Caenorhabditis elegans: one gene and its partner. The protein of the gene in region 1 interacts with the protein of each later gene in a pairwise test. Each region holds a gene or a part of one and is shown on either strand. Other genes may lie near its edges.

Region 1 (3,754 bases):
TTTAAACCACATATTTTAAGCCATATATACTTGTACTCACCGCAGCTAACTAACCGATTGATTTTTGTTGCTTTTCCCTTGCTCTGACCCACGCGACGGATTGCGGATCTTTGTTTCTTTTGACATCTCAACACTCTCTTTTCACTCGTTCTCTTATCTTTCTAGCTCCTACCCAGCATACACATCATCGTACCAACAAATTTGTATGCATGAAGTATCTATTGGACTCCTTGTTTCTGTCCCTTTTCATGATTATACCAGAGGGACCTATCTTTTTGGAAGGAATAAACAACAACAACAAGCCTTTCTTAGTGATGACTAAAAATTTAAGAATGGAACTATTATGTCGTTTAGAGAATTTTCATGTTCTGTTTTTACAATACATAGAGTTTCCGATTTTTTTTACTTTTTCTTTTTGTCTGAAATTTGTTTTTTTTTGTGTTTATTTTGAGAGTAGAAAGCCTGGTTTTGCTAAATTTTCCACCTATAATTTTTAGACAACATTTGAAACGTGCTTTAACTGAAACTGTCTATTTCTCTAATTTTCTCCGTTTCTGTCGCATCGCTACATATGTTTACCCAATTTCCGTGCTGCTTCTTTTCATTTTTCATTGTGCCTTATCGATAGAGAGAAGCAGAGAAAAAGAGCATCTCTCTCACGCAGAGGGAAAAAAGGTTTTTTATCGATAACACACACCGCCCATTACTTTTGATCTTTCCCTTTTTCAAAGTCATGTGGGTTTTTGGTTCTGCTCATAAATGATTTAATCAATACATAGCATGAGTTGAACAGTAGTTAGAAAATGACATCGCTCCTAGGAAGAAGACATTTTCAACTTATAAAATTGTTTGAAAGTTCTATTTTTAAATACAAACACTTAGAGTTGTACAGTACTACAACTGATATCGTTTTTTTTATTTGTATTGCACTACCTAGTATACATAAAACGATAGAAACAGAACAATTATTTTGTCAGTTGACAAAACGACAGAGAAACTGTCAGAATTGAATAATTCGCGAAATAAAAAATAAAGTGTGGTATTGACTGTTTTTTTTTTGAAGATGATGCTGAATTTCCTGATAAAGTTGTCAAAAATGAATGATGTTTAAGATATTTTTGAAGAAACGTTCGGAATAAATTTGTTCTCTAGAATAATTATATAGTTGCTCTCTCAATGATGTAAATCATATTTTGATGACATTTTAGCTTTAAGAAAATTCGCTAATAAATTGGTTGTAATGTTTCTCAAATAAATTTCTCTTGATTCTCCTTCCAATTCTCAATTGTTCCTTTTCTTCGTCTTTTCCAAAGGAACCCCGCCCATTGTTGTCGCCTTTTGGCATGCACAACTAGTTTTCCCTTCAATCTGAATTATTCGATTGGTCAAGCTTCTTTTCTTTTTCTTATTGAATTTAAATTTTTAACTATCAATTTGTTAAATTGAACGGAAAGCTTTGCATTGGAACATCTTATTTTTCGGGGACGTTATTCTTTCATAATCGTTATTTAATTCGTAAATGTTGAACTTTTTCTCTCCGTATGACAAAAATTGACCAAAATGTTGATTGCAGGCCTGTGAAAGATCGATCCGTCGTGCCGTGGTGTGAAGAGAAGTGACGTGAAACGGTCCGAAGGAGGGTATCGTACTGTTTCGCAAAGCTACATCATCTCCACACATAGCCGTTTCCCCGCTTCATCTACGGGTTCATACCAAACCAGAGTAGCTCATTCACTCATTTTTTTGAACAAAAAGGGTTCGTTTTCATTTTCCAACAAAATACATCCGATCCGTCAGTGGCGCCGCGCGCCGAAAAAGGAAAATATATGAGGTATTGGCCTCTCTCTCATAAAAGTCATAAAAATTGAATCGCCATGGTGTCCGCGAGAGAAGGAGAGCCGCGTGAGAGACTAGAAGAGAAATGAAGAAAAAAGGAAAAAAAGGAGCTCAAGAATACAAGTCAGCTGCCCCAAGATACTCGGCTCCGCGCAACTCCACACCATTTCCAGAGTTTCCCTCACTTTCTTACAATTTTGAATTGCAGGTGAAACAAAAAATCAGTCGATAAAAGGAAAAGTCATCATCAATTTTAAATATATAAACACACACAATGGCCTCGACATCGGCAGGACAGAACTCTGCAGCTAAACGTAAGTATTTACTGAATCCTCGTCTGAAACTACCATTGTTTTTATTCTTATTTTTTGCAATTTAAGACTATCGCTAAAATCAGCAAACATTGAGCATTTTTTGAATAAATTTCAAAAAGTTAAATAGTCCATTTTCAATTTTAGTAGGAACTAGAATTTTCATTTTCTTTGATTGGGAAAATACGGGAAAAGAACAATATTTTTTCAAATCAATTTATTTTGAAGTTTGGTTTCCGTTTCACGTTACATACCTTTAAATGTTATCGAAAAATTAGTTGTTGTTTTCCCTCTATCTCCTTTTGCCCCCTCGAAAAATGATTTTAGAAGGAAATAGAGACACAAATCGAATTTGTAGTGTTGTTGTGCATCATCACACACGCAGTCGTCGGGGGCTTCATCCTTTTTCTAGGTGTCTCTATCCGAAAAAATCTAGCGAAAGAAAAATGGATCTCATCTGGAATGCATGAAAAGAACCATTTTTTCAGCTGACACTACCAACACTACCACCACCGCCTCGAACAACAATCGTGAACGCGAACGTGATTTGAAGCAGTTCACCGAACGATTTGTCAAGAGTAAGTATTTGGCTTCTGCAGTCGGGCGGCAGTTTGAAAAAGAAAAACCAATTAAAGTGTTTCTTGCTTCAGGTTACGGAGAAAAGCGCCATGCTCTTTTTTTCTCTTTTTTTTTGCGCAGCACACCACAACCACCCCCATCCACCCTCACATTGGCACACACACATTGAAGAAGCCAGAAATTATACGCGCAGAGAATTTTTTTTTTTGCTTGTCCCGTTGTCGTCGTGAGCTGCAGAGCCGCAGAGAGTTTCTTCTCGTCTATTCTCAGCGCAAACTCTCACTGTCTGACTCACGCGGGTCCGTTGCTCTGAGGAGCTCACCAATGGCTCCGCGTCGGCTCACCAGGCACATAGAAAATATATCGAGAGATAGAGAGTTCTTATTCTCTCTGATTCTCTCTCCGTCATTCTCTTTTTCTATTCGAAAAGATTCTGACGAAGTCGCCGTCATTGGCGTCGTCGTGTGTGTGAGAGAAGACGGGAAGGAAGGGGAGTGAGTGACTGCTGTAGCTTGAAATCGAAAATTAATCCCGAAACGCTTGAGAGGGTTCCCATAGTAATTTAGGAGGGCGGCGGCGGCTCGGGCGCCATGTGGGGAAGATGAGCGTGAGAAGAGCATGGAATTTGAGAAGAATTGAAAAAAAAATAGAAGAAGGGAATAGAAAGATGAAGGAATTCGGAAGTAAAATGGAATAATGAAAACATTATATTTTTTCTAATTTCTCATTTTTCAGCCGTTCAATTTCCTGTTTCCGAACGCCTTACCGTTGATCAGGTCTACGACCGGCGGACTGGAAAACCAAGGCATGAAGTTCTTCGAGATCATTTTATTAAGGTGTGGAATAGATTTTTAAGAATATAATCAAATCAACAATTTTGCAGGAAGGAAGGATAGAAGAAGAAGCCGCGATTCGTGTGATTCAAGAATGCTCAAGCCTGTTCCGCAACGAAAAAACGATGTTGGAAATCGAGGCGCCGGTTACTGTATGCGGAGACATTCATGGTCAATTCTACGATCTCATGAAAC
Region 2 (3,754 bases), on another chromosome or scaffold:
TTTAAGCTGAAAATAGCTATTAATTAATTTGAAGCTACCGAAAAAGTGCTCAAAAATTGTCTCATAGTTAAAAATTTCCGGAAAAAAATTCTAAAATTGTTCAAAACGATTGATTATGTTGGGCCAGGTATTCTGCACAAGTACCTAATTTTTTTGAATTTATATACTCACTCAATAAAAAACTTTAAGATTAATAAAGCGGCACTGGATAAAAAAAAATTTATATCAGAATGAAGTTTCTTGAAGTCTAATGCAAATTGACAACTTTTCAAAAAATGGGATTTTTTCACAAGCTTAGTGTTTTTTATGAACTTTCAAGCATATCTTTGACTGTAACTGTAAAGTTTCAAAACCTTTCTTTTAACTTTTACAATGATATCTAAACGATTCATGACTTTTTGAACCTGAAAAATAAAACCGGACAAACCTTAGTCTTAGCAATCTTGTGCCGCGCTATCCGAACTGTGGCAAAATTGCCTTTGCCAATTGCCCGACCAACATCATACAGGCCTATCTGAAACGAATTGTTTTGTACATAATAATGATGGTACTGTTTCAGTTGTTTTCCTTCTTTTCGCCTTCTGTACAAAACACTTTCCACTATTCACTATATTAGCAATATTTGTTCTTGTGAATGAGAATCGTTCAACCAGGCGGACGCACGTTTTGCTCTTAACCCCCATATGCGGAGCGCGTGCAGACTGACGAACAAAAAACCAAATCCAATTATAATCGACAACAATACATTTTGACTCATTCTCTCCCATCATTATGAACATCACCACCGCAATTTGAAGGGTTGCTAGTCAGGCAAAATATCTATTCGAATACAAGTTTGTCAAACTTTGATCATGCAAACAGTCCTACTATCACTTCGAATTAAATCAATTGGCTACGTGAAATGATTGTGTAATATGCTGTTTTACCACATTTTCCATCAATGAAAGTTCAATAACATCGGTTTAAGTTGTGTTTTGGCAGAATCGAAATTGCAACACTCTTCGTCAAGGAAATTTTGAATTTTTAAGAAAATAAACTTTTTACGTTTTACGGTTTATCTGCACTTTGTTTCCATAGTAATTCGAATGCAATGGAGAATCTTAAATTTAGAAAATGTGGGAAAGATTTTTTATGCAACTGCATAATCGCATCGGAAACCAACTAACATGAAAGGAAGTAATGATTTTTTTTCCAAAAAAAAAACTACGCAGGTTTTTTTATGGAACATTGTTTTAAAGGTGGAGTAGCGCCAGTGGAGAATTTGTTAAAAACCTTTTTTTATCGACAACTTCCAAAAAGTGGCGAAAACTGGGATTTTTTCCAATTTTCAAAAAATCATAAAATTCAACTTTTTTAAAAATGTTTTTAACTGTTATTTGATTACTGTGGTGTGGTGAGATAGCAATTTTTTAAATTCACAACTGACGCTACTCCACTTTTAATCTATTTTATTTTTTTAACTTCTTGCTAAAAACGTTGCATGACGTAAAGCGGTCAAAAATGCTGTGCAAAAATTTGTCGGACGAAAAAAAAAGAAAAACTCTCAAGCATCCATCTTTATGTTCTGCCGTTAAACTCTCGGCGCTCGTTGATTTATTGCCGACTGTCGAACGGATGCGTGGGAATTTGCTTGGGCATTAAACGATAAAATCAGAAAAAGACTGTTCTATGGCGGGAAACAAAAACGACAAAACGCACCTTCTCACGGTAGATTGCGCAATGTTTTTACATACATATTTTATGTAAATTGTGTGACCTTAAATGAATGGGGAGAAAAAATAAAGTGCAATCGCACGCCGAACAAGTCAATTAACTAGGCACCATTCAATTAAGTGTGGGTGTTTTGTGTGTGTGGGGAAGGGAAATTGAGAACAAAGAATGGAACAGAGAGAAGAACACCCACCTTTTCAAGGCCCATACGCCGCCGTGGCGCAGCCATTGCAGTGTTGGTGTGGCGGCGCCTGAATGCGACAAGATAGTGTCGTAAGTTAAAACAGAGAGTGCATAGAGTTTTACCACCAGACGCACATATACATACATACACGCTCTCACTCACCCACTCACTCACTAACGCTCATTGCCGCCGCCTCCGCCGCCGCCTCGGCGTCTCTTCTTCTCTCACGCTCGCCTTCCAATACACTCAATAACGCTCACCGCCATGGCGCGCTCGCACACAATTCCTATTCGCTTTCTTTCCCGCACTGTGTTTCTCGATTTTCCGCGCCGCTTTTTTCCCATCTTCTCCCACCATCCTCTCTCTCACTCTCACACTTTGGACTAAGGCAGCGGGGGGCCCGCACACACGCACACACACACAAACAGACACACATACACAGGAAAAACGCACCCGTCCAGCGACCACTGTCTCTTTTTCTCAATGTCTCGGATTTGCGTCTCTCTCTTTCTCCACGCGTGCCCGGGTCCCGTTAAGAACTCTCGTCGCTTCTTGCTGATCTCTCACACTGACTCATACAATGCCTTGAGGAGCTCAACCGGGCGGCGGAGATCGCACTGCTTGAGCAAGTTCAAGAAAATAAACTTTTAAACCACCAACAAATTAATTCACGTAGTTTTTATAATGATAAAAATCATTCAGCATTTGTATATGAGCATTGTAATAAATTTCAAATTATAGTCACTTGACTTATATGTGTATATGTTATAAAAAAGTTGATTGATAGTTAGGACTCTAAAATAAAAAATGCCAATGGAACTATAACTTTTCCAATTAAAAATACTTGAAATTAAAAACATTGAAGGATTCAAGTTTGATCCGTTCTTCAAGCACCACGTGGTGTTAGATTGTCCCATTTTGGTTTGCTTTATGTAGATCTACAAAAAATGCGGGAGGTGAGACGCAGAGTTCTCGTCAAATTTTTAAAGGCAAAAAATTCCCGCATTTTTTGTAGATCAAACCCTGATGGCACAGCCACACACCACGTGAAGCGCCATGCACCGCGCATCTGAAAGTCAAGTACACTGCCCGGTGGTACTCCCACTAGGCTTTATTTTAAGCCACGTCCAAGCCAGTGACTGTGGCCAATATTTTCCGTTAAGGTTGTGGGAACCTAAAGGGAGGCAGGACTTGTATTTCTCATGATTGCTACCGTCCTACCACCTGAGCATTTCCTGTAAGTTATCATGGTAACAAAAATGCAAAAAAAAAACAAAAAAGCGAAAGGTTCAGCAATTCAATGTGAACTATGTCATAAATTTCAAAATATCTACATATAGTAACCTGATTTATTTGTGTGTATATCATGAATAAAGTTGAATGATTGATAGCACGCTAGATTAAAACATTAAAACACGTCCATGGTCTGAAAAAAAGTAAGAGGTGTTACAGTAATAGTACAATCAACATTAAATGACAAAATTAAACCCTTTTTAACATAATCGGGAAGTGAAACAAAAACAAACAAAAAATTGAAAAAAAAATGTATCAAATGAAAGTGTGGTAGTTTTGATGAAGATCTGTGATGATGAAGAAGTTTCACTCGCCTTTGTAGAGTATCCACATCCGCGGAGTCTCCACGTATGCTGTAATTAAAATTCAATTTTAAAAATTCTGTCATTCGTTTTTCAGTGATACCTGTCGGCTCATCTGCTGCCAGGTAGCCTCCGTGCTCTTCATACACGTGATGTTTCATCTCGGGGTATTCCGCGTGACGTTCGTGACAAATCGCGCAAACATATCCATGCTCATCTCTCTTGTGTTCCTGGAATCAATATAATTAAAAGTTCATATAAGGGT

Evidence for each region. The genes of interacting proteins can lie anywhere in the genome.
Region 2: the proteins of tax-6 (region 1) and kin-29 interact in binary tests that used the Caenorhabditis elegans proteins (3 or more experiments, as listed by UniProt).

What each region holds. Positions count from the first base shown.
Region 1 is NC_003282.8:10,499,417-10,503,170, reverse strand, and holds the start of tax-6 (Serine/threonine-protein phosphatase 2B catalytic subunit), read left to right. Parts: upstream 1-2,110; coding exon 2,111-2,150; intron 2,151-2,635; coding exon 2,636-2,725; intron 2,726-2,973; exon of another isoform or gene 2,974-3,252; intron 3,253-3,461; coding exon 3,462-3,562; intron 3,563-3,609; coding exon 3,610-3,754. UniProt on the Caenorhabditis elegans protein: Calcium-dependent, calmodulin-stimulated protein phosphatase. Dephosphorylates arrd-17. Dephosphorylates daf-16 at 'Ser-319' which regulates daf-16 nuclear translocation. Dephosphorylates calcium permeable cation channel pkd-2 at 'Ser-534'.
Region 2 is NC_003284.9:2,850,449-2,854,202, forward strand, and holds the start of kin-29 (Serine/threonine-protein kinase kin-29), read right to left. Parts: upstream 2,073-3,754; 5' UTR 1,940-2,072; coding exon 1,904-1,939; intron 515-1,903; coding exon 428-514; intron 1-427. Other genes in the region: Zinc finger protein tra-4, read right to left, coding at 3,494-3,540, 3,593-3,719. UniProt on the Caenorhabditis elegans protein: Regulates chemoreceptor expression by phosphorylating the hda-4 class II histone deacetylase (HDAC) and inhibiting the gene repression functions of hda-4 and the mef-2 transcription factor, enabling the correct sensing and transduction of food signals.